2 linked regions of the Elephas maximus indicus genome follow. The protein of the gene in region 1 binds, or shares a complex with, the protein of each later gene. Links are inferred from orthologs where the notes say so. Each region holds a gene or a part of one and is shown on either strand. Other genes may lie near its edges.

What was found.
Region 2: the proteins of SMARCAD1 (region 1) and TRIM28 are in contact, whole or in part, in a crystal structure (PDB 6H3A), measured with the Homo sapiens proteins. The link is inferred for Elephas maximus indicus from reciprocal best matches to the Homo sapiens genes SMARCAD1 and TRIM28. Residues at the interface, in NP_001362784.1 of Homo sapiens: Asp156, Leu157, Ala160, Lys161, Gln163, Thr164, Glu167, Leu168, Phe169, Asp188, Gly189, Ala190, Ala192, Leu196, Ala201, Gly202, Gly203; in NP_005753.1 of Homo sapiens: Arg330, Trp333, Thr334, Lys337, Ile338, His341, Leu376, Lys377, Ile379, Val380, Asp381, Val383.

Annotation. Positions count from the first base shown.
Region 1 is NC_064823.1:60,397,115-60,412,981, reverse strand, and holds the start of SMARCAD1 (SWI/SNF-related matrix-associated actin-dependent regulator of chromatin subfamily A containing DEAD/H box 1), read left to right. Parts: upstream 1-7,524; 5' UTR 7,525-7,612; intron 7,613-7,659; exon of another isoform or gene 7,660-7,953; intron 7,954-8,214; 5' UTR 8,215-8,262; coding exon 8,263-8,452; intron 8,453-15,867. UniProt on the Homo sapiens protein: DNA helicase that possesses intrinsic ATP-dependent nucleosome-remodeling activity and is both required for DNA repair and heterochromatin organization.
Region 2 is NC_064829.1:87,267,614-87,283,004, reverse strand, and holds the start of TRIM28 (transcription intermediary factor 1-beta), read left to right. Parts: upstream 1-10,412; 5' UTR 10,413-10,501; coding exon 10,502-10,832; intron 10,833-11,084; coding exon 11,085-11,197; intron 11,198-11,438; coding exon 11,439-11,571; intron 11,572-13,329; coding exon 13,330-13,465; intron 13,466-13,554; coding exon 13,555-13,671; intron 13,672-13,750; coding exon 13,751-13,865; intron 13,866-13,957; coding exon 13,958-14,104; intron 14,105-14,204; coding exon 14,205-14,319; intron 14,320-14,405; coding exon 14,406-14,512; intron 14,513-14,598; coding exon 14,599-14,635; intron 14,636-14,731; coding exon 14,732-14,780; intron 14,781-14,865; coding exon 14,866-15,118; intron 15,119-15,205; coding exon 15,206-15,391. UniProt on the Homo sapiens protein: Nuclear corepressor for KRAB domain-containing zinc finger proteins (KRAB-ZFPs).

The sequences.
Region 1 (15,867 bases):
CTGACTTCCCCTGTATTGTGTGCTGTCCTTCACTTCACCTAAAATAATTCTTGTCCACTATCTAGTTAGTGAATACCTCTCTCCCTCTCTCCCCACCGTCGTAACCATCAAAGAATGTTTTCTTCTCGGTTTAAACTTTTCCTTGAGTTCTTGTAATAGTGGTCTCATACGTATTTGTCCTTTTGCAACTGACTAATTTCACTCAGCATAATGCCTTCCAGGTTCAACCATGTTACGAGATGTTTCACAGATTCGTTGTTCTTTATCTTTGCGAAGTATTTCACTGTGTGAATATACTACAATTTGTTTATCCATTTTCTGTTGATGGGCACGTAGGGAGTTTCCATCTTTTTGCTACTGAGAACAGTCCTGCAGTGAACATTCTGTGCGTGTATCTATTCGTGTGAGGGCTCTTATTTCCCTAGGATATACTCCAAAGAGTGGGACTGCTGGATCGTATGTTACTTCTATTTCTAGCTTTTTAAGAAAGTACCAAATAGATTTCCGAAGTGGTTGTACCACTTTGCATTCCCACCAGCAGCGTGTAGGTGTTCCAGTCTCTCCACTACCTCTCCAAAATTTATTAATTTGTGTTTTGTGGAAAAAAACTGTACATATCCTGTCCATATCCTTTACCCATTTTTTAATTGGGTTATTTGTCTTTTTGTTGTTGAAGTTCTGCAGTGTCTTGTAGATTTAGAGATTAGATGCTGATTGGATATGTCGTAGCCAAAATTTTTTTCCTAGTCTGCAGTCTTTTTAATCCTTTGATGAAATCTGGATGAACATAATTGTTTGATTTTTAGGAGCTCCCAGTTATCTAGTTTCTCTTCTGGTGTTTGCGCACTGTTAGTAATGTTTTGTATGCTGTTTATTTTATGTATTAGGGCTCCTAGTGTTGTCCCTATTTTTTCTTCCATGATCTTTATCATTTTAGATTTTATATTTAGGTGCTTGATCCATTTTTGAGCTAGTTTTTGTGCATGGTGTGTGGTATGGGTCTTATTTCATTTTTTTGCAGATGGATATCCAGTTATGCTGGTACCATTTGTCAAAGAGACTGTCTTTTCCCCAGTTAACAGACTTTGGGTTTTTGTCAAATATTGGCTTTTTTTTTTTTTTTACATAGGTAGGTGAATTTACATCTGGATCCTCAATCTTGTTACATTGGTCTATGTATCTGTTGTTGTACCCGTAACAGGCTGTTTTGACTACTGTAGCAGTATAACAGATCCTAAAATCAGGTAGTGTAAGGCCTCCCACTCTGTTTTTCCTCTTCAATAATGCTTTACTTATCTGGGGCCTCTTCCCTTTCCATATGAAGTTGGTGATTTGTTTCTCCATCTCATTAAAAAATGCCATTGGAATTTGCATCGGGATTGCATTGTATCCGTAGATTGCTTTGGATAGTATAGACATTTTCACAATGTTGAGCCTATCCATGTGCAAGGTATGTTTTTCCACTTATGTAGGTCTCTTTTGGCTTCTTATATCAGTGTTTGCAGTTTTCTTTATATAGGTGTTTTACATCTCTGGTTAGATTTATTCCTAAGTATTTTATCTTCTTGGGGGCTATTGTAAATAGAATTGATTTGGTGATTACCTCTTCAATGTTCTCTTTGTTAGTGTAGAGGAATCCAACTGATTTTTGTATGTTTATCTTGTATTCTGATATTTTGCTAAAATCTATTAGTTCCAGTAGTTTTCCTGTGGATTCTTTAGGGTTTTCTGTGTATAAGATTATATCATCTGAAAACAGAAATACTTTTAATTCTTCCTTACCAATTTGGATGCCCTTTATTTCTTTTTCTTGCCTTACTGCTCAGGCTAGGGCCTCTAGCACAATGTTGAATAAGAGTCGTGATAAAGGGCATCCTTGTCTGGTTCCTGTTCTCACGGGGAATGCTTTCAGACTCTCTCCATTTAGGATGATGTTGGCTGTTGGCTTTGTATAAGGGCCCTTTATCGTGTTGAGGAATTTTCCTTCTATTCCTATTTGCTGAGAATTTTTATCATGAAGGGGTGTTTTACTTTGCTGAATGCTTTTTCTGCATCAATTGATAAGATCATGTGGTTATTGTCTTTTGTTTTATTTATATGGTGGGTTACATTGATGGTTTTTCTAATGTTGAACCACCCCTGCATACCTGATATGAATCCACTTGGTCATGGTGCATTATTTTTTTGATATGTTGTTGAATTCTATTGGCTAGAATTTTGTTGAGGATTTTCACGTCTAAGTATATGAGGGATATTTACATATGGTCTGTAGTTTTCCTTTTTCATGGTGTCTTTACCTGGTTTTGGTATTAGGGTTATGCTGGCTTTATGGAATGAGTTTGGAAGTATTCCATCCTTTTCTATGCTCTGAAATACCTTTAGTAATAGTGCTGTTAACGTTCCTCTGAAAGTTTGGTAGGATTCCCCAGTGAAGCTGTCGGGGCAGGGCTTTTTTTGGGGGGAATTTTTTAATTACTTACAATCCCTCTATCTTTATAAGTTTATTTAGTTGTTCAACCTCTGTTTGTGTTGGTTTAGGTAGGTAGTGTGTTTCTAGGAATTCATCCATTTCTTCTAGGTTTTCAAATTTGTTAGAGGACAATTTTTCATTGTATTCTGCTATGATTGTTTTAATTTCAGTTGGGTCTGTTGTGATATCGCCCATCTCATTTCTTATTTGGGTTAATTGCCTCCTCTCCATTTTTTTTTTTTTTTTTTTTTTTTGTCAGTTTGGCCGATGGTTTATCGATTTTGTAGATCTTTTCAAAAAATCAGCTTTTGGTCTTGTTGACTCTTTCAATTGTTTTTCTCTTCTCTATTTCATTTAATTTTGCTCTAAATTTTATTGTTTGCTTTCTTCTGGTGCCCGAGGGCTTCTTTTGCTACTCTCTATTTGTTCGAGTTGTAGGGTTAATGCTTTGATTTTGGCCCTTTCTTCTTTTTGGATGTGTGCATTTATTGTCATAAATTGACCACTGAGCACTGCTTTTGCTGTGTTTCAAAGGTTCTGGTGGGATGTGTTTTCATTCTCATTTCATTCTGTGAATTTCTTTATTCCGTCCTTAAGTTCTTTTATAACCCAGTAGTTTTTGAGCAAGATGGTGTTCAGTTTCCATGTGTTTGATTTTTTTCCCTCGCTTTTTCTGTTATTCATCTCTACTTTTATGGCTTTATGGTCAGAAAAGAAGCTTTGTAATACTTCGATGCTTTGGATTCTGTTAAGGCTTGCTTCATGGCCTAATATGTGGTCTATTCTGGAGAATGTTCCATGTGTGTTGGAAAAGAAAGTATACTTGGCTGCTGTGAGGTGGAGTGTTCTGTATATGTTCATGAGGTCAAGTTGGTTGATTGTGGCATTTAGATTTTGCATGTCTTTATTGAGCTTCTTTCTGAATGTTCTATCCTTTCACCAAAAGTGGTGTGTTGAAGTCTCCTACTATTATTGTGGAGCTGTCTGGCTCTCTTTTCAATGCTGTGAGAGTTTATGTATTTTGGAGCCCTGTCATTGAGTGCATAAATATTTATTATGGTTATGTCCTCCTGATGTATTGACCCTTTAGTCATTATATAGTGTCCTTCCTTATCCTTTGTGGTGGATTTTACTTTAAAGTCTATTTTTCAGAGATTAATATTGCCACTGCTACTCTTTTTTGGTTGTTGTTTGCTTGATATATATTTTTCCGTCCTTTAAGTTTTGTTTGTGTCTTTAAGTCTAAGGTGTGGCTCTTGTAGGCAGCATATAGATGTCACTGCTCACCTCACCACACAGGCCAGCTGATCCAGACTGCTGGATGCCGGTTCCTGCTGGTTAAGGTCTGGCAACTCATCTCTGCTTCTGAACCATCTCTTCCACCCCTGCTGCTCAGTCTGATTCCTCAACTTTGCCTTTGATGTTCGTTATATATAATCTATTCACTTGTTTTTTCAGGTGTTTGTTGTAAGAGGGACCACAGGAAGCATCTGACTACTCCATCGTCTTTGCTCCACCTCTTTATTGTCGCTTAAAAAGAATATGTTAGGTTTATTGAGGTATAATTTATAAGAGGTAAAATTCACCCTTTTTAAGTTGAAAAAGATTTGACAAATATATCTAGTCACAACCACAGTCAGACCATTCTGGGAAAGAGTAGAGGGAGACAAGAGAGGGCCAAGGACTGAATGTTGGAGAATGATAATATTTAGGATCAGAAAGAAGGCGAATTCAAGGAATGGTTCACAGTCTTTTTTTCAGCCCCAACTCTTGCTATTCTTCTAGACAATTTCAGGTACAAAAAGAGAAACTCTCCCACAAGAACGTTCTCTCACTTTCTGGCCCCATTTACTTTCTGTTCCACCATCAAGCAAAACCCCAATCATGGATCGATCCAAGTCTCCCAAGTCAATGAATGCTGCAGAACAAGCCTACCCTTAGAACTGGGCAAGGTGAGTCTCTGTAGTAAACTCAGTGCTTTAGAGAGCTCAATCTGGCTCTCTTTCAGTTGTGCCCTACCACACTGGGCAAGGAATCTGTGGGGCCATAAAATTTGGCCACTCAGAAGCTGTGCCTTGACTTTTAGATAATGCTTTAAGTACCAAGCAGGCTAAGAGATAATTTCCCCCAGGTCTTTCTTACTGAGGGCCAACAGTGCTGCCTGTATATGTATCCCTAGGCCCAACATATAGCCAAGAGGCCACTAGGCTGAAGAGGTGACCAAGGAATGGGTCGGAGTATAGTTTCCAGGTAAAACCAAGATACCCTGTTAAATCTGGATTTCAGAGAAACAACAAAAAAAATTTTAGCATAAGTAATTTCCAAATATTGCATGGTACATACTTAAACTAAAAAAAGCATTCACCGTTTATCTGAAATTCAAATTTAACTGAGCATCCTATATTTTGTTTTATAAATATGGCAACCCTAGGTGGGGTCAGAGTTGGATACGCATGAGCGCAAGGCCCCTATTGTGTGTGCCATCAAGCTGCAAGCTGATTCCGACTCAGCAACCTTATATGACAGAGTAGAACTGCCCCATAGGATCTCCTAGGGTATAATCTTTACAGGAAGGAGCCCTGGACGCACAGTGTTTAAGCACTCAGCTGCTTACCAAAAAGTTGCCAGTTCTAATCCAGCAGCTGCTTCTGGAGAGAGAGATGTGGCAGCCTGCTTCCATAAAGATTATGTCCTTGGAAACCCTATGGGACCGCTCTACTCTGTCCTATAGGGTCAGTATGTGTCAGAATTGACTCAATGGCAACAGGAATGTTTAGAGGAGCCTATCACCAGATGTCTTCTCCCGTGGAGTCGCTGAGTGGGTTGAAACTGCTGACCCTCTGGTTAGCAGCCATGTGTTCAACTGTTGCGCCACCTGGGCTTCCTACAAGGCCTCTAAAACCCATTGCTGATGAGTCGATTCTGACTTATAGCAACTATACATACAGCACAAAGTACAGCTGCTCCATAGGGTTTCCAAGTCTCTAAATCTTTACAGAAGCCAACTACCACATCTTTCTCCCATGGAGTGGCTTGTGGGTTTGCACTGGCAACCTTTTGGATTGCAGCCTAGCATTAAATCATTGTGCCACCAGAGCTCCTTTTAAGGCCCCTAGAAAGTAAGTAAGTAGTGGTATCAAATTGAGCAGGAGGACGTGATAGAAGGAATGACGGATATGTGGGCCAACCAATTCTCCTTGAATCATCCACATTCTGACACAATAGAAATTTGAAGTTAACCTGGCCTTCTATGTCATTTTCAAAATAGGAGGATAGAATTTATTTTAATATTCTGTTAGTTGTGTTTATAATGTTTAACATAAAGTTTATAACATTTAACATGTGGGTCTACATTTTTACACTTGCCCCAACTCTACAAATGTCAAGGGTCTCCCAGCTACAGAAAATCATACTAATATGTCACTATCACTGTGAAGCATGTTTAAAAGATGAGGAACCTAAGGCTTAGAAAGGTTATATAACTTGCCCAAAGTTATTTAGCTAGTGGAATCCATTTTCAATCTCAGATCTGTCTGCATATAATGCAAACATATACTCTTAATTACCAAAAATAATTTACTATTTATAAGTAAACATATGCTTTGATCACATCATTAACGTGTGTATCAAGCTAATGCATTTCATGGATATCAAAGATAGATATAATGGAGATTCTCTTTGTTTATGCTTTGATTCTACATTTTATGGGTCCAGACACTTGATTATCAGTGTGCCGGCATTTGAAAAAACTGTGGAATTGTGTTATAATTATATAATTCACAAGACTGATTTATAACATAGAATGCAGATTTAAGTTTATAATGATCAATGTATCTGCAGGGTAATTATGTGTATTAAGTCCTCTTCAAGGGAAATGCCAACCAGATCAAGTTACGGCTCAGAAAAATGGAGGTTTAATCTAATGTTAGAATAAAGGGAGCAAATATTCTTTTTTTTTTTTTAATAATTTTTATTGAGCTTTAAGTGAACGTTTACAAATCAAGGGAGCAAATATTCTTAAAGCAATATTTTACCCAAGATAGGTGAATTAATTGTCACATTTCATTGTAAGAACAATCCAGCCAACAATGGGGAGGCAATTCATATGCTTTGGAGTTCAACATACCCACTAACACACACTAATTAGCTACTTAACGGTTTTAAGTCTGAGTTTCCTTATTTTATGAAAATAGGTTTCTTGTAAAGATTTAGATTTGTCTAAGAAGAAAACTGCTTTGTTAGAACTGAAAGCAAAGAGTTTTATTGAGGAATAGTAGTTTGAACGGGGCAGCACATCGGTCAAAGTACAACGTGCTCAGATTAGACAGATCTTTCAAGGTCTTATATAAAGAAATATCATGAACAGGTACTTTTTCTGAGACGACGAAACTTGCATTGTTCTGCAAATACTTTTTGAATTACTTTATATAGGGCTTGTGTTCTCCAGTCATAAGAACACAGCATTTTAAAAATAATTTTTCAGTTAAATTACATATCAGTTAATCTATAGACCTCTTGGAGCCTGCCTGCACAAGTACCTTGCAAAAGCAGGTGCGGTTTCTATAAACATTCTTGTCACAGGCTTCCTGGAACCTTATGATTGCCATCTTAACCACATACCTTCCAAGAACAGCCGCAGTTTACCCCCTCCTCTCTGTCCTTCCAGAGTCAGTGTAGATTAACCCATTACTGTGACCTCGGCCCGAACTCCCCTATTTTTGTGGCCCACTGACACGTACGGCATTTAGCTAACTACTATTATGATGATGTGTATACAATATAATGTATTAAAATATATAAAATATATTAATTATATTACACAGCATATATTATTATTATGCTATTTATTACATTATTTTACAATCCTCTTGCTAACCACACACACACACAAAAAAACAGGATAAATGCGCGTTTTCCAGGCGAGGCGAATACGAGTTACCATGACAACACAGCGCGCCTAGACATTTTCCTCTCTTGGGTCGCCGGGGAAGAAAAAAAAAAGCCCAGGTTGCGTGTTGCGTCATCACTACGCGCTCATTTGTGTTTCTCCGTAAAAGGTCCCGGCCCGGCTACCGTCGCCCCACGCCGGCAATTATTTTTTTCTTTTCAACGTTTGTTACATCGCACGGAGGCTACCAGGCCGTAAGTACCGCGAGGTGAAAAAAAACAGATCCAGCAAGTGAACATTAAAAAAGACGCTCTGGCACAGCCCCCACCTCTGGAGCTCCTTGTGTGTTCTTGATCCTATCAGCTTCCTCTCAACCGGGATCGTGCCGCGTCAACTTCCGGGCGGGTGCCCGCCAGCACGGCCTCCGCCGCTCCCCTTCTTTGGCCCCTTTGTGTCCCCGCAGTGTCGAGACTCGGGCCCTGGCACGTCCTCTCTCTCGAGACTGGGGGCTCGGTAGTGCAGGGAGTCTTTCGCTGTGGGCGGGCGCGCGGCCCGCTAGGGGGTTAGATTGAGGAACGTGCCTGCGCATGCTGGGGTAAGAGGAGGTTGCACGAGGGTCAGCTTGTGGTTCGAGGAAGGAGGGGCGGGGGACGAAGGGGAATGAAACGAGCAATGGAAAATAAAAAGAGATGCCCTGTTCACCATCTGATTGTTGTGGCCTAACAATGAGGCGCAGCCATAATAGTCGTCCTGAGACACTGGCATGTTTGCAGGCCCTTTATTGCCTCGGGAATGAACTGCTATGGCTTTGTGTTGTTTCATGGTTTCTTTTTCTTTTTTTATTTCCCTGTTGCAGATAGTTTATTCAAAGTCCCAACCACACAGCGTGGTGGTTGCTACCAATATGAATCTTTTCAACTTGGACCGTTTTCGCTTTGAGAAAAGGAGTAAGATTGAGGAAGCCCCCGAAGCAACCCCCCAACCCTCCCAGCCTGGCCCTTCTTCACCAATTTCTCTTAGTGCTGAAGAGGAGAATGCTGAAGGGGAAGTTAGCAGGGCAAGCACTCCTGATTCAGATGTAACTGAAAAAACAGGTGAGTTACAATGTTGCAAATTGGTGTATCACCGAGAAATATTTCAAAAAGATGAGAAGTGAAAGGGATTCTGTATATTATTCTCGGTGTCATATGCACTGTTGCATTGCCTTCCAAGTGTGCCCTTTTAAAAACAGCTTTGGGATTGCCATAGGCACCATGTAGCTCCAAATGAGAACCCATCTATATTTTCTTCACTTTTATATGAGGATGCTTGATACATGGCCCAATGATGGAAGTTGAAATTAGCATTTAGACCATTTTTAGGCCTATGAGTCGGAATGGATTCCACCGCAATGGGTTTGGTTTTCGGTTTAGGTCAAAATGGAGCCCTGGTAGCATAGTGGTTAAGAGTTGGGTTGGTAACCAAAATGTAGGCAGTTCGAAGCCACCAGTGGCTCCTTGGAAACCCTATGGGGCCGTTTTACCTTGTCCAATAGGGTCACTATGAGTCCAAATCGATTCCATGGCAACGGATTTTTTTTTTTTTTAAGGTCAGAATGGTTGCTACTAGTAAATGAACCTAGGCATTTCAGCCCATTGATAGATTTTGCAGCTGTCACTTGCCTAGAGGTATTCATTCATATTCTGCCATTCCTTCATAAAACATTAATCACTTACTTTGAGTTAGATGTTGTGTTAGGTGCCTGAAGAAAATTTCTGTGCACCAATGAAGATCAAATTACTTTCAGATGTTGCCACCACCAGATTCTGGAGATCCGCAGGGTGCAAATGAATAATTGGGATTCTTTATGATGAACGAACAATTTTTTTTTCTTCAACAGTTTGACACAGACAACAGGATTTGAGAAAAAACTGAATATTAAAATTTTCATTTTAACCTATGTTCATTAAACGGTTAACAGTTAGAGGCATGTATATCAAGCTTTTACTATTTTTTAGGCATAGTGCCAAGTGCTTCACATTTAATTTAATTTGCACAGCAATCTTAGGGATAGGTTTTATCCGTGTTTTGTAGAAATGAGACTTAGAGAGATTAAGTAACTTGCCCAGTATTACTCGTTAGGAAGCTGGTAGAGCCAGAACTCAAATCCAAGCAGAGTATAAACTCTTATTTTTTGCATGGTTTTCTATGAAGTAGAGATCTTAGTGGGATGAAAGAAAAGTTAGACATTTTATTTTAATGTTTATTCTGGTAAGGCTGTTTTTTACGCAAAACCCAATATTTCATGTGCAGTGTTTCAGTGAATGTGGTACTGATAAAATGGGTAATGTTCTCACCTTGATATCCGAATTTTCTTTGCAGCTCTTACATATAAGAGTAATGTCATTTGGGATTAGGTTGCCTACAACTTATCATTAGAATAACATTTCTAAATACTTTGGCAGAGTTAGAATATGGTGGAATGATTTGGCAGATTGGGTTAAGAGGTAATTATGAGTCAAATTTTGAAGGGCTTTGACTGTTTAAAGAATTTTGAACTTGTCTGAATGCTGTGGTGAACCACGGAAAGATTTTAAACACAGGAGTGACATTTTATCTTTGTTCTTTCGACAGATACCTGATTTCCCTTACAGATGCTGTAGTTGATGTCCGAACATCTAGATACTTAAATATTTTTTACAGTGAATATATTCATTTGTTTCCTATGTAGTTAAGAGACGGCAAGGAAGGCCAGGGTTTAGCTATGGGATGTTGAGTCCTTAGAAGTCTCTGTTTTGTTTTAGTTAAATGTACAACACTAGGCAAGCCACTTAAAATCTGGGATCCAGAGTTTTTTCATCTTTAAAAGTAAAAGCACTTTATAAACTGGAATTCATGGAATGTTTTAGTTATTTCTCAATATTGGTAGTGTAAAATTCTTAATTGCTTTTTTTAGTCATATTTTTCTACTTTAATTTTTTTTTTCTTTCTGAGTAGACTTCACTCCTGTTTTCTTTGTTGGACTTGTGTTTTCATTCATAAGTGTTTCTTAGTAGCTGAGATTGCCTTTAGGGATCTCATGGTCAGTCTTGATGACATTGGGAAATAAATGAAAATTAAGTTTGTTCTAGGGATGGTGATAGTCTAGTGGGAGTGGTGGGCTTTCCTTTGAGAGAAGATTATTATAGGTGATTCTGTGAATTTTGGACAATCTTGAAAGTCGAGGCTTAGAAATTTAGACTTTATTTTATAGGTACTAAACCACAAAAAAAAAAACAAAACCCATTGCCGTCGAGTTGATTCGAACTCATAGCAAACCTACAAGACAGAGTAGAACTGCCCCATAGAGTTTCCAAGGAGTGCCTGGTGGAGTCAAACTGCTGACTTTTTGGTTAGCAGCAGTAGCTCTTAAACACTGTGCCACCAGGGTTTCCTTATTAAAAAAAAAAAAAAAAAAAAAAAACCAGTGCCATCAAGTCAATTCCGACTTATAGCGATCCTATAGGACAGAGTAGAACTGCCTCCATAGAGTTTCCAAGGAGACGTACTAAAAATAGGTACTAGGGATCCATTAAAGACTTTTTGGATAGACTGGTAAAACAATGAAAGGAAGCTGTTTTGTAAAAAAAAGCCAAAAGTAAAGAAATCAGTTATGAAGCTTTTACAACCTGAACTTAATGATGGCAGTGGAAATGGAGAAAAGAATATATGAGAGAGATCTCACAGCAAGAAAAGACACGACATTACAACTAGATCTGTGGTAGGAATGAGGTAAGATGAATGTTAAGATAGTTTAGGTAATTGAAAAAACAATGAGGTGCTGTACATCAGAATTGGTGTTGAGAACCCATTGCAAGCTATTGGGTAATTCTTTTCAATATTTAAAAGACAAAGGTCCTGTCTTCAATTTAGCATGTTGGGAGAGAAGGTTGAATTTGGTGGTGGGCCCGTGGTGAGGATCAGATGCTAAAAGTTAGAACTGAAGTCATGATTGGAGATGGAGATTGGGGAATCATCAGTGGGGTATAAATATTTTATTTGTCTTCGTTCATCATCATATGATAACTTTTTATACTGCATTATTGTACAATGCCATATTGGTTTCTATTGGTAGAGTGTTAGGATTTAAGTTCATAACACAGAAATTGTATATAGTCAAAATTAACTGCAATCACTCTTTTTTTTTTTTAGCTAATCTTGTTGTTTTACCTAATACGAGCTGAATTTATTTCCTACTAAAGTTCAGTTACTGTGCCACAGTCATACACTGTTCCTTGAGCATACCGAGCACCATCGTATCTCTGCTGCTTCCTATTTGCTGTTCCTTCTGCCTTGAAGACCCTTCATGCTGTTATTTGGGTATAATGCCGTCATTTCATTTAGTGTTAGTGAAATTTCACCTTTTTAGAAAGCCTTCTCTAATCACTCTCTGAAATAGATCCCCCTCCTACCACTTTAAGGATTCTTGGTGGTGCAATGGTTAAGCACTTGGCTGCTAACCAAAAGGTTGGTGGTTTGAACCCACCCAGTGGCCCCTCAGGAGACGGGCATGGCAATTGGCTTCTTTAAAGATACCAGCTTAGAAATGCCTATAGGGCATTTCTACTGTCACATGGGTTTGCTAAAAGTTGAAAATTGAGTCCACAGCACACAAACAACAATCTACCACTTTATTTTTTATTAGTATCTATCACTACCTGACATAACGTATTTGTGGTTTTGGTCTTCCTCACTAGAATATAAGCTCCATGAGTGATTATTCATCCCCAGCATTCACAATGGCCATTGGCGTGTAGTAGGTCCCGAGTAAATATGTGTGCAAGCAAGGAGTATTTGATGGATGGATAAGTGGGTAATTTTAGTACTTTATACATATCTTGTAATCTCCTCCTCCTCTTTGTGACCTTGAAACAGCCTCCTAGCCATTAGGCATTCTTCAACCATGGATACTTGCTCTTTGATGGGACAGGCTCCCTAACACTGGTCTAAATACAAGGTCTGGATTTGAGGGCACACACTTAACCTGTGTTTTTTTCCTCTCCAGGTTGACTTTGCTCTCAGTGTGCAGAGTTATCAGTGGTTGTCATCTACACATTTTTCCCTTTTTTTCTTTGATTTTTTTTTTTCTGTGTATAGTGAGTTTGGGGGCAATTGATAAGAGTAGATGAGTGAGAAAGGGGAGAACCTACTATGTTTTAGGCATAAAGGATAGAAATACGAGCAAAGCATGATCCTCGAGCACCAGGAGGGAAGGACATGTAAATATCTGATTAAACTAGTACAGTGTGATAAATCTAATAATAAGGGGAAGTACTAAGCAATGTAGAATCACAGTCTGTGATTCACAAATGATTAATTACCCATTCTTTCTCAGGAGAGTCAGAAGTCATGGAGAGGTGACCTTTGGAGTGGACCCTAAACCATGAATCATTGTTTTTTGGTTGTGTATGGGACGAAAGGGTTGAAAGTGTACGTTGGCTCAAAGAAAGTGTCTGTAGTATGTGTATGGGGGTACTATCTATGGAAAAAGAGGTTCAAGGCACTATAGATAAAACTACAAAGGTAAAAGTATAAACTTCTGGGTTGTGAGGTATCTGGACTTTATTTGATATACCCTGTAAAGCATTTCATATGAGAAGACGATTAATGAAGCCTTTGCATTAATTGAAGCCTAAATGCAGGCAAATGATAGTAATGATGGAGAAGAAGCAATTTAGGAGAGTTTTATAAGACATGTATTTGATGGGATTTGATCAGTTAAGTATGGAAAATTTAAAGATAACTGTTCCTTGCTTGATCAGCTGGGTAATTGGCATTATGAACTAAAATAGGAATTAGGTTCAGAAGGAAAATACTAAAACATTGAGTTTGAATACCTGCCATATCTCAGTAGAAAGATTGAGTTGGAAATTAGAGTTTGGAGCTAAGAGTGTGGTCAGAACCTGAGAAATAACTTGGGAGTCATCATTGCAGTAGATACTGGAAAATGTCTTAAGCAGGGTGTACAGAGAGAGGCATCAACATTAAGTGATGAACAAAGGAAGGGAAAACAATGAAAAATATCAAAGAAGACTAGAATAGTAAGAGAAAACGATAGTGTCCTGGAAGCCACAGAGATATGAGCATTTCCAATTTGGTAAATGGTTGCTGTTGTTGATGTTGTTGTTAGATGCTGTTAAGTTGATTGCAGCTTGTAGCGAGCCTACGTACAATAGAATGAAACACTGCCTAGTCCTGTGCCATCCTCATAATTGTTGTTAGGCTTGAACCCATTGTTGTAGTCACTGTGTCAGTCCATGTCGTTGAAAGTCTTCCTCTTTTTCGCTGACCCTCTACCAAACATGATGTCCTTCACCAGGAGCTGGTCCTTCCTGATAATATGTCTAAAGTATGTGAGACAGCCTTGCCATCCTCACTTCTAAGGAGCATTCTGGCTGTACTTCTTCCGAGACAGATTGGTTTGTTGTTCTAGCAGTCCATGATATAGTCAATATTCTTTACTAGCGTCATAATTCAAAGGCATCATTTTTTCGGTCTTCTTTTGTTCTTCTTTATTCATTGTCCAGCTTTCACATGCATATGAGGTGATTGAAAACACCATGGCTTGGGTCAGGTGCACCTTAGTCCTTTAAAGTGACACCTTTGCTCCGCCCCCCCTATTAATTTTTTATTTTAGATGAAGGTTTATGGAGCAAACTAGCCTCTCATTGAAAAGTTTATACACATACTGTTTTGTGACACTGGTCGCCAACCCCACAACATGTCAACAGTCTCCGCTTCTTGACCTTAGGTTCCCATTTACCATTACTCGTGCCTTCTCGTCCTTGCCCCTGGGCCGGTGTGTCCATTTAGTCTTGTTTTATGGGCCTGCCTAATCTTTGTCTGAATGGTGAACCTCAGGAGTGACTTAATTACTGAGCTAAAAGAGTGTCCAGGGCCATACTCTGTGGGTTTCTCCAGTCCCTGTCAGACCAGACATCTTTGCTTTTTAACATCTTAAAGAGGTCTTTTATAGCAGATTCCCCACAGGGTTAGTTTTACTGTTGTGGCTTGCATATTGCTGTGATGCTAGAAGCTATGCCACTGGTATTTCATATACCTGCAGGCTCACCTGCGGTGGTAAATGGTAGGAGTATCAAATGCTGTGGAGATGTTAAATTGGATGAGGACGGACCAGAGACTACTTTCCTTGGATATTAAAGTTACTGTTAACCAGCCACTCCTTGGGAGAAAGATGTGAAGTCTTCCATAAAGATTTATAGCCTCGGAAACCTGTGGGCAGTTATACCCTGTCCTGTAACATCACTGTGATTCTGAATTGACTCTATGACAGTGGGTTTGGGTTGACCTTTAAAACACAGTTTTTGGTGGAATAGTGAGGACGTATAGACTACTCTTTCAAGATGTTAAAGAGGTAGCTTGACAGGGAGAAAATACCGAGAAAAGATGGATGTTTCAGGATTGTTGAAAATTGAATGTATTTATTGGCCAAGAGGAAGAAGCTAGTGAGATGGAAAGGATGAAGGGAAGTACCTGGAAAGAGTCATCCAGGGGGTGGGAGTTAACCACACAGCTGGACTGTTTAGCTATACAAAGGAATTGTTGTTGTTGGTTGCCATGGAGTCCCTTTTGATTTATGGCAACTTCACCTGTGCAGAGTAGAACTGCTCCATAGGATATTCAAGGCTGTGACTATTCAGAAGCAGATCGCTAGACCTGTCTTCTGAGGTGCCCTTTGGTGGGTTCAAACCACCAACCTTTTGGCTAGTAGTTGAGAGCTTGTTTCCGCCACCCAGGGACTCCTCTTGCAGAGGTATAGAGGAGACGCCTTTTATCTGAGAGAAAAAAAAAAAGTGAAGGAGATTAAAATAGGTAGGTATGTAGATGCTTGGAATGGAGGAAAGTTTGTGACCTTCCATTTCTTGGTGAAATAGATTCAGCCTTCTAATGTGGTTGCCATTTAAAGGTGATTGCCCTGTTGAAAGTAACAGCTGTTAATAAGTGAGAGAATATTTTTCTGCTGTTAAAATTATACTAGTTATCAAAAAGATTTCCAGAGAGGACTGCTCTGCTACATACAGACTGTATGATCTTGGATAAGACATCAGTATTTTTGGACTTCACTTTCTTTTCATGCCTTTGCCTAAATAGATGTTCTCTGAAGTCCCTGCCAGCAGTAAAATGCCTGTGATCCTTTGAATGATGAAGCCGAGTGTATCATCATGAATGAATGTATAAAATGTATGATTTTAACTGTATAAATGTGTGATTTTAGCTGAATGTATAAAATGTACGATTTCCATTCTGTAACTATTGGACTGTATCCAGTCTTCTTACTGTGTTACTAAAATGAGTTATTGCTACATCTTTGAAAGGTCATTGTGGCTTTTTAGTATCTCTTAATGTTAGCTGAAAAAATACTTGGTAGAAGGGTTAGTGCTGAATTGCTCTGGTAGAAAGTACAAAAAGTACTTATCCTTAAGTAAAAATCTTAGGTACATTATAAATATACTTTTTTTGTATGTATTTT
Region 2 (15,391 bases), on another chromosome or scaffold:
AGGAATGTTCTTTCTAGTTACGCACCTTGCTTATAGGATGGCTATGCTGTGTGTGCCTGAACAAAAGACACCCTCCTTGTAACCGGGTGGCCAAGCCATCTCCAGCAAAGGCCCCTTCGTCTTACCCCCTTCCCTTTTCCCGTGTTATGGATTGAATTGTGTCACCTAAAATTATGTATTGTAAATCCTAACCTCTATGCCTGTGGTTATAAGCCCTTTTGGGAATGGGTTGTCTTTGTTATGTTAATGAGACTGGATTAGTGGTTGTATCTTGAGTCAGTATCTTTTGAGATACAACAGAGATTAAACAAGCAAGCAAGAAGCAGAGATGAGGAAAGAGAATCCAAGTCACATGAAGATCTCCCAGGAGCAGAAGCTCAAAGAGACAAGGACCTTCCTCCAGATCCAACAGAGATGGAAAGCCTTCCCCTAGAACTCACACTCTGAATTTGGACTTCTAGCCTCCTAACCTGAGAAAATAAATTTCTGTTTGTTAAAACCACCGATTTGTGGTATTTCCGTTACAGCAGCACTAGATACGTAAGTCACCACGCGTGCCAAGCACATATATGGGCAGAGGAAGCAGCAAATGCAAAGGCCCGAGCAAGGTGGGACCAACAGGTCAGACCATGTATCTGGTGCAGACCCCAGGGCCCTCATCAGAATCTGATTTTTTTTTTTAATTGGGATAAAAATACACCAACATAAAATTTACCATTTCAAAGTGTGCGATTCAGTGAGATTAAGAACATTCAGTGTTAATCAATCATCTCAACTATCTAGGTCCAGAACGGAATCTAATTTTTATTCTAAACCAAAAGGGATCACTGGAGGGTACAGGACAGTGACAATTCCTCATCCAGGTATAAACCCAGGGATATACCTACATAAGTGCCCTAGGTCATATGAAGCTGTCAGTCAAAGAATTGCAGGAACCACGGGCAGAGGGAGCAGCCACTTGATGTCTATCACTGGGCAAGGATCTATATGGTGGAGGCTGGCATGGCATTCTCCATAGTAAGGGGAAGTCCAGTCCATGGCCACTGGGATGCTCACATCCATCCACCAAGCCAGAGAGGGTGGGTGGTAGCACATGTGGAAGCCCAGAGAGGACAACGCTGGCCTGGGGAGGACAGTGGCGGAGAGTGAAAATGATGAAGGCAGAAAAATAACTGAATAAAAATACAAAGAAGAATTCCAGAACGGGCAAGTCCATTAAGAAAGTAGTATAGCGAGTGGCAGGAGCCATAACAAACGAGGCTGAGGGTGTAGTGGGTTGAATGGTGGCCCCCAAAAAGATATGTCCACATCCTAACCTCCAGATCCTATAAGTGTGACCTATTTGGAAATGGCTTTTGCAGATATAATTAATGATCTTGAGGTGAGATCAGCCTGGATTACTTGGGTGGCCCTAAATCCAGTGACAAGTGGAAATAAGAGCCAGAAGAATAGAAGGCAAAGGTCGGCAGTTTGAATCTGCCAGCTGCTCCTTGGAAACCCTATGGTGACATCTACAGGGTCACTATGAATTGGAATCAACTCGATGGCAATGGGCAGCATCCAGAAGTGAGGGAATGAATTTCTGTTGTTTTAAGCCTCTGAGTTTGTGTTAATTTGCTATAGCAGCTCTAGGAAACTTAAAAAAAAAAAAAAAAAAATTTTTTTTTTTTTTTTTTAACTAACACAGGGGTAAATGGGCGGGTGTGTGGGGGGGACGTGACTGCTCATACACATGGGATTTTGGGGGGGTGATGAAAATGTTCTGGTATTAGTGATGATGGTTGTTGTAAAAATGGTCAGATGAAGAGGCCTGAAGCCAGGAGGAGAGACAATCAAGATTATCTGCATCAGCCCAAGGCTGATTCCTTTTTATGTTGGTGAAAAAAGGTGTTTGCAATGAAGAAGTCATTGGTCTTGGAAAATTCTATCACAGGTTCTTCGGCATTGTTTCTATCACTGGGTTTGATAATTCCTTGCAATGGCCACAAAGAACTCACAGACAATAGTCACAATTACGGGGCTTATTAGGGAAGTAATAGGTTGCAATTCAGGTTCAGGAACACTCAAGATACTGTTCTGCCATCAGGACAGCCTCTTCCCAGCTGTGCTCACAGGAATACCTCTCTGGGCCTCAGCCTCTGCCCTGCTGGGGCAAGTGTTACAAAGCTCTTTTAGCTCTGCCAGCCAGCAAGCCTCCTGCCCGAAGGCACTCAGTGTTCTTGCTCCATGGCCAGGAAGTCCACTGAGCCATCTCCTGCCAGTCTCTCCTGTTGGTCTCTCCTGCCGCTGTTTCTTGCCATCTTCAGCATTACGGCTTTCTCTCTCCTTCTCCTGGTTCCTGGAGCTTCTCAGCGCGGGGATCTTGGATCCAAAGGATGCACTCTGCTCTCGGCCCTTCTTTGGTGGTGGTGAAATCCCCTCTCTGCTCCTGAGTTCACTTTCTTTTTAAGCCTAGTGGGGGATGGCAAAACTGAGCAATCCCCTTGGTGGGCTGCAATTACCTTATTTACACAGTCCCACCCACTCAGTTGGGTGGGAGTTACAAGATCATGGCCAGTAAGACCATACAAAAGCAATCCATTACACTGCACCCACCCAATCATTTTGTAGGAGTCAAAGACCATGTCAAGGAAGACCGCATAACAGGAATTCACAGCACTGCAGTTGTACACTTCTGTGAATATACTAAAAACCACTGAATTGTACACTTTAAAAGGATGACCTTTATGGCATGTGAATTATACCTTAATAGAGCTGTTATCATCATAGGGTCGCAATGAGTTGGAATCAACTCGATGGTAATGGGTTTGGTTTTCTGGTTTTGTAAAACTGTTATGGAAACCCTGGTGGCATAGTGGTTAAGAGGTATGGTTGCTAACCAAAGGGTCGATGGTTCAAATCCACCATACACTCCTTGGAAACTCTATGGGGGCAGTTCTACTCTGTCCTATAGGGTTGCTATGAGTCAGAATCGACTTAAGGGCAGTGGGTTTGTTTGTTTTTTAAAGCTGTGGGGTGGGGGAGCCTCAAGCAGACACAAGATGCCATCTGCGGGCAGTCCTGGGTATTCACCTTGGATGAGAACTCAAGCTGGTGTGGGGGGCCAGAGGAGCCTCCTCAGGAAGCAGCTTTGGGGGTAACATGTGAGAGTGGGCAGGAGAGCTTGGGAAAGGAAAAGAAGGCAGGGGTCAGGTGAGGCCTGATCCTGCTGGGGTGGTGGGGAGGTCTCACACATTGCTTCACCCCTTGAAGAAGACCAAGCCTGTATGCAAAGCAGGAATGTGGATTGTTGCCAGTGGTCCAGAGCTGGGAAGGGAGAGACATTGTAAAGGGTCACCAAGGAACATGGACGATAAGAGTGCTGGGTGCACAGGTGTGCTGTACAGCTTTACTATAATAGCAACTAATGGACACAAAGTAAAGTATGTGCCTTAGGGGGAGATGATCGCCCTCTGAGAGGCTGAAACATTTATTGTCTATCTTAGTGGGGGGAAGGAGAAAGGCTGGTTCACCGAGGCCAGTGAATCTAGAACTGTTAATCAGGGGATGGTCACGTACTCTGAGCAGAGGCAATGAGTACCGTCCTTGCCCACAGGGGGCTTTGCCTTTTATTCCCCTACTCTCTGTACATGCTTTTTGGCACATAGTCATTGAAGCTTGAAGCTCGCTAGTATATTAACTCTGGGTGAGAGGAACTTCGGGGTTCCTCACCCATGGTGCAAAGTGAGGCATGCTTGGATGCAATCATAACATTTCACCCTGGGATGGGAACCTAACTTTGGAGAAACTTGGCTGCTGCTGCTGTTTTTCTGCTCTACTCATTGCTGTCCTGTATACTCTGTGAATAATAAACACCCATTGATCACACAATTAGAACAGTGTCTGGTCCATGCTCTCCTCCAAGTAGTTCTTCATACTAAGAACTTGTGAACTTGGTACATTGCAGACAGTGTGTAAGGTGACAGTGACTGCTTGGCTGGGCCCCACTGGGGGACTGAGCCAAGGTAAGGAAGCTAAATGGGGTGTCTTCCCACACACGTGTTCATGCCACGCACCTCTGGACCTCGGAACAGTCTGGCTCCTCAGACAGGACCCCTCAACAGAAGGTCCTGCCCTTGCCCCACTCTCCTGTCTGCCTAGACCCTGGGACACCTCTGCCTTTCCTGTGCCTGCTTGACTCTGGTTCCCAGCTGACTCCCACTCCAATGTTGTCCTGGCACTTCCCACAGCCTCAGTTTTCTAATCTGGACAATGGAGTTGGCAGTGACCCAGTAGCTAGTGGCCAGCGAACCCTCCAAGGACTACTACCAGGTAATATCCTGCTAAGTGTGATTGTCACATACTGGAGAGAAAGGTCCTGGGCCCAGAGAAGTCGGGAGCTTTAAAGATTACTGTACAGAAGGAAAACATGTGTACCCTGGGCCCGGAAAACTCCAGGACCGGTGGTCAGGGTCTAGTATTGAGACATTGCACTGGTGGGGTCACAAGGGACCCACCTATTCGCCCTCCTAGCTGTCCAGCCCAGCTCCCACCACTGAGCTGTCCATCCTGCCTCAGGGCCTTTGCACTTGCTGTTCCTCCTGCCTACACTGTCCTTCTTGCAGGTGTTTGTGGGCAGTGCTCTTCCCTGAGGGACTCCATCCCCATGCTTTAAAAAAAAAAATTTTTTTTATTGTATCTTCAGTGAAGTTGAATGAATAATTTCTTTTAGAAGGATCAGCACAAAGCTAGTTCCTATGAGGCAGAGGTTAAAGATGTACCAAATGTCCAACTTTTTTCAAATTGCTGTACCACTCCATCATCTCTAACACCAACTACTACTCCTCCCCTCAGTACTCTCTCTCCCATCATTGGATTCCATAATTTGCTGCAACATCTCGCAGAACTCATGAACTGTCAAGGAAATGGCTCACGCCGTTATGGAGGCTTGCAAAGTCTGAAATATGTGATTCAGGCATCAGGCTGGAGGCTTATCCTGACTCACATGGTTCCAGGGGCTGACAAACTCATATAGGCATGTCAGATGACAGGCTGCTCGCTCACAAGGCTGTGGAAACTGGCAAATCAGTGAAAATAGGCTGCTGGCTCAAGTTCCAAGAACTGGAGGTCTGATGATGACAAGCTAGATGCAGGATTCAGAGCAAGACAGAGAGCTTTGCCAGAGCATTCACATATATTTTGGATGCAAACCATACCCTCAAGGAAATTCCCCTTACTTGAGCAAGGATGTGACTTGAATAAGGGTGGTGACTGGGGTATGAATGGTAACTTGAGTCACACATTCTAGTAAAGTGGTGACCCAAGACACATCTCACCCTAATCCTCCCTTATTAACATAATGGACAACTTACTCCAAAATGGGACCATAACCATAAGCATAGAGGCTAGGATTTACACATTACAAAATGGAAAACAATTATATGAGATAAAAAATGGAGGACAATTATATCAGACCACAGAGGATGACTACATCATTACATAACTGCCAAATTATATTATTACATAAATGCCAAACCACTGAAAATCATGGATCAATGAAGTTGACACATAACCTTAATCATCACAGGTTCCATATACCTTATTTGCATTAGCAGCAAGCTGTCCAATCCCATTGGTGGGGCTACAAGCACCTTATTTGCATAGTCCCACCCAATCATTGTGTGGGAATCACAAGGATTATGGCTAGAAGGGCCATATTAAGTAATTCACTGCACTGCAGAAGATTTATACAACAGTTTTTTTTTTTTATTTAGGTTCCCATTCAACAATTTCTACACAAATTGTTCAGTGACATTGGATCAAGTACTTCATAATGTGTGAACATTCTCATTATTTTCGTTCTGGTCGTTCAGCTTGTGCTAGCAAATATTCAAAGTACAGAAGTATTCAGACTGAACTTACAAGGAAGGGTTACCCTGGACTACTCTTGGCCAACACATGGTGTTTTAGTTTGTTTTTTTTTTTTAGTGCTGCTATAACAGAAATACCACAAGCGGATGGCTTTAACAAAGGAAAGTTTATTCTCTCACAGTCTAGTAGGCTTAAAGTCGGAATTCAGGGCCCCAGCACTAGGGGAAGGCTTTCTTTCTCTGTCAGCTCTGGAGGAAGGTCCTTGGGATGCATCAGTTTTCCTTTGGTCTGGGACCATCTCAGTGCAGGAACCTCAGGTCCAAAGGGAGGAACCTCGGGTCCGAAGGACATGCTCTGTTCCCTGCACTGCTTTCTTGGTGGTTATGAGGTCCCCCACTCTCTGCTTGCTTCCTTTTCATTTTATTTCTTGAGAGAAAAAAGGCGGTGCAGGCCACATCCCAGGGAAACTCCCCTTACGTTGGATCAGGGATGTAACTTGGGTAAGGGTGGTGTTAGAATCCCACCCTAATCCTCTTTAACATAAAATTACAATCATGAAATACAGGACAACCACAGAATACTGGGAATCATTGGGGGACATAATTCAATCCATGACATGTGGGACAGAAGGAGACATGGTGTTCGTTCTCAGAAGATATGTACCTAGAATGTTCCAGTGTGGTGCACTGGGTTGTTTTATATGGCCTTTTGGAAACCCTGGTTGCATAGTGGTTAAGTGCTACAGCTGTTGACCAAAAGGTGGGCAGTTTGAATTCACCAGGCGCTCCTTGGAAACTCTATGGGGCAGTTCTACTCCGTCCTATAGGTTTGCTATGAGTCAAAATCAAATTAATGGCAACAGGTTTTTTTTTTTTTTTTTCTCACCATGGTCTTGTAACTCGCACCAATAGACTAGTGGGACTATGCAAATGAGGTGCTTGTGGCCCACTATGGGGATTGGGTAGCTTGCTAATAATGTAAATAAGGTGCATGGCACTCTTAGGATGGGATGATGCAAAGAAGATGTATGGAACCCTAATGAGGGGATTGGTCAGTTTTGCCATCCTGTTAGGCTTAAAAGAGAGCCAATTCCTGAGCAGAGCAGGGACTTGACTACCACCAAGGAGAGATGGGTGTGGAGCACATCCTTTGGACCCAGGATCTCTGTGGTGAGACCCTCTTAGACCCAGGAGACAGAGAGAGCAGTGCAGAGAAATGGCGGCAGCAAAGGCAGCAGATGCAGGAGACTAGCAGGAGACAGACTGCTGTGTGTGCCAACTCAGTGAATGAGAAAGCTGAGCACCTTCTGGCAGGAGGCTTGCTGGTGGAATGGGGTGCCTCTGGGCACTTACTGGCAGAGCTAAAATAGCTTTGTAACACTTGCCCGAGCAGGGCAGAGCACAGGCTGAGGGGCCATGGGGCAGAGAGGCCAAGGGCCAGAGATAGACATGCCTGCAGGTACAGCGGTAAAAAAGCTGTCCTGACGGAAGAACTGTATCGTGAGTTGTTTCTGATCCTGAATTGTAACCTGTTACTTCCCTAATACACCGCTTACTCATGAGTATTGGCTGTGAGTTCTGTGTGGCTGTTGCAAGGAGTTATCGGACCTAGCAGAGGAGTAGAGGGTGCTGTGGGAGAGATGGTTGGTATCAGAACTGGTAAAAAGGTTGGGGGGTGGAAGCATGAAGGCTTCCTCCTCAAAGGAAACAGCCTTGGGCTGTTGATCTTGATTCTCCTTCCCCCTCCTGAAGTTAGAGGAGGTCAAACACCACCCCCACACCATTTTTACATCCAGGAAGCATGTGACAAAACTGTTCTAGAAAATTGCTTGTACAGACCGTTCTTAGAAAATGTATGTTAGAAAATTAACTGCTATGTGGAAAAAATTGTTCTGCAAGATATTTACGGTTTTAGCCATGTTGAACTTTAAGTATAAAAACTCCATCTTTTGTTCTGCTCAAAGGAGCACCTTGCACTTTCACCTTGAGCTGCCCAACTTGAGTTGCTTTATTCCTCAGTAAAACTTATTGTCTCTTACTCTAATAGAGTATAAGAATTTCTTCTTTCATAAGCTCCATTCCCACATCCTCTACCATCAATCTTTTTGAAGAGTCTCTAGGTGGTGCAAATGGTTAATGTGGTTAACATGCTCAGTTGCTAACAGAAAGGTTAGAGATTCAAGTCCACCCAGAGGTGCCTCAGAAGAAAGGTCTGGCTAATTACTTCTGAGAAACCATCCATTGAAAATCCTATGGAGCACAGTTCTACCCTAACACACATGAGTTTCCATGAGTTGGAACTGACTCCAGGCCAACTGGTATTTTGATCGCCCTTCCCTCCCCAGTGTCTGGTGGTGCAGTGGTTAAGTCGATTGACTGCTAACCAAAAGGTCCGTTGGAAACCACCAGAGGCTTCGTCGGAGAAAGATGTGGTAGTTAGCTTCTGTAAATATTTACAGCTTTGGAAATTCTATGGGGTCACTCTGAGTTGGAATCTACTCCATGGCAGTGGGTTTGGTTCTTTCCTCAGTGTTTGCCCCAGGGCTCAGGTTAGGGCATGGGTCACCCCTTCACCCCTGTGATTTTGCGGTCCAACACGCTCAGTGAATATATCTAAAGGATCCCCCACCTCACCCTGTGCGCCGCCAGCCATTCACATTCGTTCCGAATTATCAGAGGTGGCTGGGAGGAGGTGAGAAGGGGCCGGTCAGTGGGGCGTGGCCTTCACCGCACCGGGTGGAGCCGGGCAGCCTGCGGAGGGGGCGTGGCGGGCGATGACGCAGCGCAGAGGCGGGAGCAGGGCGGGGCCCGAATTTGGGGGGCCGGGCGCTGGGGCTGGAACAAAGGCAGGGGCGGGAACAAAGCTCTGCGGACCCCGAGCCCCGGAGAGGAACAAAAGGCAACCTTGGGCCAGCGGCCAGTCGCCCCTCCGCCACCGCCACGTGCGCCCGCACGGCTTGGGGAATGGAGGGTAGATGGCGCCCCCCACCCCGCCCCAAGACTGTCCGGCCCCCGCCTTAAAGTGTGCGCACTCTGGGGCTCCGGCCTGGGCTCGCTGACCCTGCTGGCCTACCCCATCCTCCAGGAAGCCTCCCTCCCCCAACCTGCCGTCGCATTTCAGACGCGAGGCCTCAGGACCCGAGGGTACAGAGGCAGGCCTTGTCATGCGCGCTGCGGTCACTGCGCAGGGGGCCAGGGCCCACTCCTAGCGCCATGTCCATCCCTCGTGTTTCTTGCGCCACTCTCTTCAGACAGGATTTCCCCTACGCCCCCAAGGCCGTGCGCTCCGTTTAGCACTCCCTCCTTAGCATTTTAGGATTCCCCTTCCCACAGGATCTGCCTCTCCCTCAGGCAGAATTCCACCCAGACAAACCCTGCTTCCATTCTCAGACAGCCTTTCTCCCCCCTCCCTGCCCCGACAGGATTTCCCACCACACACACCCGTTTCCACCCTCAGACAGAATTACACATACAGACCCTATTCCCTCCTCAGAGGATTACCCTCCCACCCACACACACTCAGAGTCTCTGTATCTACTGTCAAGATTCTCCCCTCACAGAGACTCTTTCCCCTCTCAGACAGGATTCTCCCCACCCAGATTCTGCTCCCCCTTCAGACAGGATACCCCGCACACACAGGCCCAGCTTCCCTTTTCAGACAAGATTTCCCCCACTGTTGAGGGTCGGGATGTCCGTCCCCCTAGAGGACAAATGGCAAAGCATCAAAGTCAGGAGAGAGGCTGGCTAGGAGATGGGGAAGGAGCGCCAGTGGAGGGCCGGGTGGGATTTCACGGACTCGCTGCTCCGTAACCCCTTGAGTTCTACATTTAATTTAAGTAGCTTTCTGTGTTTCTCATATTTATAGCAGAAAGGTTAAAGCCCCGAAGTGGCTCGCCCCTTTAGGAGCTGCCTCCTCCTCCGATGGAGCCCCGCCCACAGGCCCGGGCCCTTCCAGGAGCTATTGGTGACGCAGCGGCTTGGCGATATCTCTCGCCGGCCGAAAGGTGGGGTAAAATGGGGGGGGGGGGGTCCCGGGCTGCCCACGCACGTGCGCAGTACAGCGGGTAGCCTCGGTGCGGTCTGGAGGTGGGTCTGGAGGGGCGGGTAGCACGCGCAAGAATCGGTGCTTTCGCCCCGCCTGCCGCCGAAACTGCGGCGGTGACGTCTTGCGCCCCGCCCATGCCGCTCGAGTCGCGCCGAGGGGATGGTTGGTGGGGGGTGAGAGGGGCGCTTGCGTACTAGCAACCTCGCAGTCGGCGGCAGGCTCAGACCCCGCCCCCGGGCCGCAAGGTGCCCAGCGCGCGTGCGCGGAGGCGTCGGCGCCAGTTATTTCTGTCCCGCCCCCCAGCCGCGGCTCTTTCTGCGAGCAGGCGCGCGGGCGAGCGGTCGTGTGCGTGGAGCTGGGCTCGAGGGCGGTGTCGGCGGCTGTGCACGCGGCGGGCCGGCGGGGAGCGAGCAGGCAGCGGCCGGCCGGGCCTCGGCAGCGCCCCGCGCGCGGCGGGCAGCGGCCCAGTCGGTGCGCAGCAGCGCTCGGCCTCGCGGCGGCGGCGGCGGCCCAAGCAGCGGCGCGGCCGTTGGCGGCGAGCCTGTCTGCGCCTGCGCGGCAGGCCCCGTGCCCCTCCTCCCCCCTGGGCGCCCCCGGCGGTGTGTGAATGGCGGCCTCGGCAGCGGCGGCGGCGGCGGCGGCCTCGGCTGCGTCGGGTAGCCCCGGCCCAGGCGAGGGCTCGGCGGGTGGCGAGAAGCGGTCCGCCGCCTCATCGGCTGCAGGCTCGGCTTCGGCCTCGGCGTCGTCGCCCGGTTCGGGCGGTGGCGAGGCGCTGGAGCTGCTGGAGCATTGCGGCCTGTGTCGAGAGCGCCTGCGGCCCGAGCGGGAGCCGCGCCTGCTCCCCTGCCTGCACTCGGCCTGCAACGCCTGCCTCGGGCCTGCCGCACCCGCCGCGTCCAATAGCTCAGGAGACGGCGGCGCGGCGGGGGACAGCGCGGGTGAGTTCGCGGAGGACGGCCCCGGGCGCCGGAAGCGCTGCTGGAGGGGAGAGGTGGGGTCGGGGGTGGAAGCCTGCCTGGGGTGGGAATGGGGTCTGGACGCTGATATGGGGGCTTGCACGGGGGCTGCGTAGCGATGTGGGATTATCCGAGGTAGAGGATGGGCTTCCTGGTTGGGTGTGGGTACCCGGTTTCAGAGTCTATTGTGAGAATGGGACCGCCCAGACACGGTGTTTTTCTCACCTTTTGCAGTGGTGGATTGTCCCGTGTGCAAGCAGCAGTGCTTCTACAAAGATATCGTGGAAAACTATTTTATGCGCGACAGTGGTAGCAAGGCTGCCACCGATTCCCAGGATGCTAATCAGGTGTGTGTCTTGTTCTCGTCACTTCCAGGAGGCCTGTGGCTTTGGGTAGGCCCCGAGAGGAGGGGTCACCAGGCCAGGAGGAACATAACAGCAACACCAGGTGTTATTCTCCACCCCGCTTTTTGCTCTGGGCAGGCTGCCTTGGCTTGAGAAAGGGTTGCACGTTGTCTCAGGTAGTGCTTTGTTAGACAGGGAATCATTAGGTGGTCCCACTCCTTCTGATTCTGTCTTTGCCTAGCAGTGCTGCACCAGCTGTGAGGATAATGCACCCGCCACCAGCTACTGCGTGGAATGCTCCGAACCGCTTTGTGAGACATGTGTGGAGGCACACCAGCGGGTGAAGTACACCAAGGACCACACTGTGCGATCCACTGGTATATGGGGCAGATGGGGTGGCAGGAACATTCCTGGGTCTCTAGAGAGGGACGTGCAGAGGAGGCAAGTGTTTTAAATCTTCAGCTGCTGGTCACATCTCATGGCTGATTCCCTACGTGTTTCTTTAGGGGCTAGTTTCTGAAGGGTCCCAGGGCTAAGACTGCTTGAAAGCAGGAAGGTGGGGCTCTGGTGTGCAAGTTCCAGGGGTCCTGGTGGTAGGGAAAAGATCTTGGAGGATCACAGTGGACGTCAGTGAGCTTCATGGCATGAGGGAGTTGGTGGTCCGGGTGATGCTCATCATAGAGGCCTCCAGGCAGGGAGGAAGTGTGCTGTCGGAATAGGGCCTTCCAGGTGGAGGGAACAGCTTGCATAGTTGGGGAAAGGTGTGGTGTTTAATGAGGGATGTGAAGGGTCACTGTCTTGGGGTTCCCTGGCACCCTGGCTCGAAGCTTTATGTGGAAAGTGAGTCTTTGGGGCCAGGGCACATTGTTGAGCTGTGAGCGCCCATGAACTGTCAGTGACGGTGTGTCCCAGAGGCACTTCAGCTGCGTTCTGCCCAGGGTTCAACTAGATATTTACAGATTTTTTTGTGCACTGGTTCCTATGTGAAAAGGGGCTCGGGAATCTATTGTAGCTGGTTTTTATCCCCAAATTCCTCATGAGATGGGTTTTCAGGAGGTATCTTGTGATTCGTCATAGCTTAGCGGACAGCATCTGTGGGAAGATGAGAATGGAGGTGGCTGAGGGATGGACAGGGCTTTGCTGCGGGACCTGGGTCTGGTTGGAGATGTTGGTACAGTGAGGGGTCTAGGACCAGGTGGCCTATGCCTTGTGCTTTAGATTTGACAGGTGCAGCCAGGTTGTGATTGGCATTGGAAAAAAGGAAAGGGAGCATGTATAAGCAGCTCTCAGGGGAGGGGGCTGGGTTCATCTTTGTTCCTTGGGTGGCTTTACTCTGAGCACTGGGAATTTCTCCCAGAATGGCCTGATGCTGTCTGCGGGGTCCCAGTCCAACATCTTGTTTTTCCTGGATTCAGGTAAGCAGCTGTTAGGGTTCCTTTGGCCCATGGCTGGTAGGTTGCTTGTGATCTTAGAGAGCATGGTTTCTAAGGAAATTGTTCATGAATGAGCTCAGGCTTCTTTAGGCCCCCAGTTCACTTTTAATCCTGCACTTGGGGTGATAGCTCAGTGGTCAGAATCCCATTCTGTGGTGAAAGGATATTTGTTGTGGATGACATTGTTAGTAGGTGGGTTGGAGGAGTTTTTGGAGTCTGTCTGCCTAGGTAGGACGTATCCACGGAGGAAATGGCACAGGGAGGTGTCTTCTGGTAGAAGCCGTGTTGTTTGTTAGTGTCGTCCAGTTGGTTTCTTCTTACAGTGATTATTTGTGATGGGGTAGAACTGCCTCATGGGTTTTTGTAGGATGTAATCTTTATAGGAGCAGATCACCAGGTTTTATTCCTATGGAGTTGCTGGGTGGGTTTGAACTGCCAATTTTTCAGTCATGTTATTGGGTCTACCTCTGTTTATTCTGTGTTGTCAGCCCTACAAGTGGGAGGGCTTATAAAGATTTTGCTGGTCAGGTTGGGTTAGAGGGTGCTGGAAGCAAGATCAGGTTGCAGAGCTGCAGTCCCTGCCCCCACACTGCCATGTGCCCAGACTCCAAACCTGGCCAGAGGCTGCTCTGCGTGGCTCCGGAGGTGGGGGTGGCCCAGGCCAGGGTTCCCTGTGTCTGCCTCACTGTGTTCACTCCACAGGGCCGGCTAAGACGCGGGATGGCGAGCGCACTGTGTACTGCAGCGTACACAAGCACGAGCCCCTTGTGCTGTTTTGCGAGAGCTGTGACACCCTCACCTGTCGGGACTGCCAGCTCAATGCCCACAAGGACCATCAGTGAGTTTCGAGCCGGACCACGGTGGGCTGGATGGGCCAGTACCTGCTCTCAGCACCCTGTCCCCGGCTCGTCTCTTGTCATTCCACAGGTACCAGTTTCTGGAGGATGCAGTGAGGAACCAGCGCAAGCTCCTGGCCTCGTTGGTGAAGCGCCTGGGGGACAAGCATGCCACGCTGCAGAAGAGTACCAAGGAGGTTCGCAGCTCGTAAGTTGGGGGCACCGGGGCTGTGGAGGGGGGCGGCCCCTTGCCTGTCCAGTCTGACCCGCCCCAACCTTGTTCTCAGAATCCGCCAGGTGTCAGACGTGCAGAAGCGTGTGCAGGTGGATGTTAAGATGGCCATTCTGCAGATCATGAAGGAGCTGAATAAGCGCGGTCGCGTGTTGGTCAATGATGCCCAGGTGTGTATCCCAGTCCCACCTAGGGTGGGAGAATTCCAGCTGCTTTTCTCCTCCAGCCTGTTGATCCTGTGTCCCACCCCGCAACCCTGCAGAAGGTGACCGAGGGGCAGCAGGAGCGGCTGGAGCGGCAGCACTGGACCATGACCAAGATCCAGAAGCACCAGGAGCATATCCTGCGCTTTGCCTCCTGGGCCCTGGAGAGTGACAACAACACGGCTTTGCTGCTGTCCAAGAAGCTGGTGTGCTGGCTCTGGGGGGCTGTGGGGAGGTGGCCCCCCCATGCACAGGTGGCTTGCACTGCCCAGAGCACTGACAAGCCACCCATCCTACTCTGCCCAGATCTACTTCCAGCTGCACCGTGCTCTCAAGATGATCGTGGACCCCGTGGAGCCACACGGCGAGATGAAATTCCAGTGGGACCTGAACGCCTGGACCAAGAGTGCTGAGGCCTTCGGTGAGTCTTGCTTCCCTGCTTTTCTTCCCCTGATCCCATTCTTCAGGGAACTTTCTCTGCCATTGCTTACTCTTTGTCTCCCGAAGGCAAGATCGTGGCAGAGCGCTCGGGCACCAACTCCACAGGCCCTGCACCCATGGCCCCTCCGCGGGCCCCTGGCCCACTGAGCAAGCAGGGCTCGGGCAGCAGCCAGGTAAGGAGGGCGTTGGTGGGAGGAGGGAGAATGGAGCACAGGATCCTGAGGGCCATCACCTGAAGTCCCCCAATCTCTGCCCACAGCCCATGGAGATACAGGAAGGCTATGGCTTTGGGTCAGGTGAGTGGGTCATCAGCCTGGGCCCCAGCGCTGCTTGGGGGGAGACTCACACTGTTCCCACGCCAATCTAGTATCTCCTTTCCTCCATCTCCCAAGTAGATGACCCCTACTCCAGTGCGGAGCCTCACGTATCGGGTGTGAAGCGGTGAGTGGTGGCCTTGTGGGGCGGTAAGCAGGCCCAGTCGTTGGCTTGGTCTGGACTTAGCCTCATGGCAAGTTGTGCCTTGCAGGTCTCGCTCTGGTGACGGTGAGGTGAGCGGCCTCATGCGCAAGGTGCCGCGGGTGAGCCTCGAGCGCCTGGACTTGGACCTCACAGCCGACAGCCAGCCACCCGTATTCAAGGTGTTTCCAGGCAACACCACAGAGGACTACAATCTCATTGTCATCGAGCGTGGTGGTGCTGCCGCGGCTGCCGGTCAGCCAGGGACTGCACCCCCTGGAGCCCCTGGAGCTCCGCCCCTGCCTGGCATGGCCATTGTCAAGGTGAGTGTCCCCTGTGGGACAATCGCAGTAGGACAGCGCAGGGTGCCAAGCCCTGCTCACCATCGCTTATCCCTCTTACTGTCATAGGAGGAAGAGACAGAGGCAGCAATTGGAGCTCCGCCTGCTGCTGCTGAAGGCCCCGAGACCAAGCCCGTGCTGATGGCCCTGGCAGAGGGCCCTGGTTCTGAGGGCCCCCGCCTGGCCTCACCCAGTGGTAGCACCAGCTCGGGTCTGGAGGTGGTGGCCCCTGAAGGTGCCTCAGCCTCATCTGGT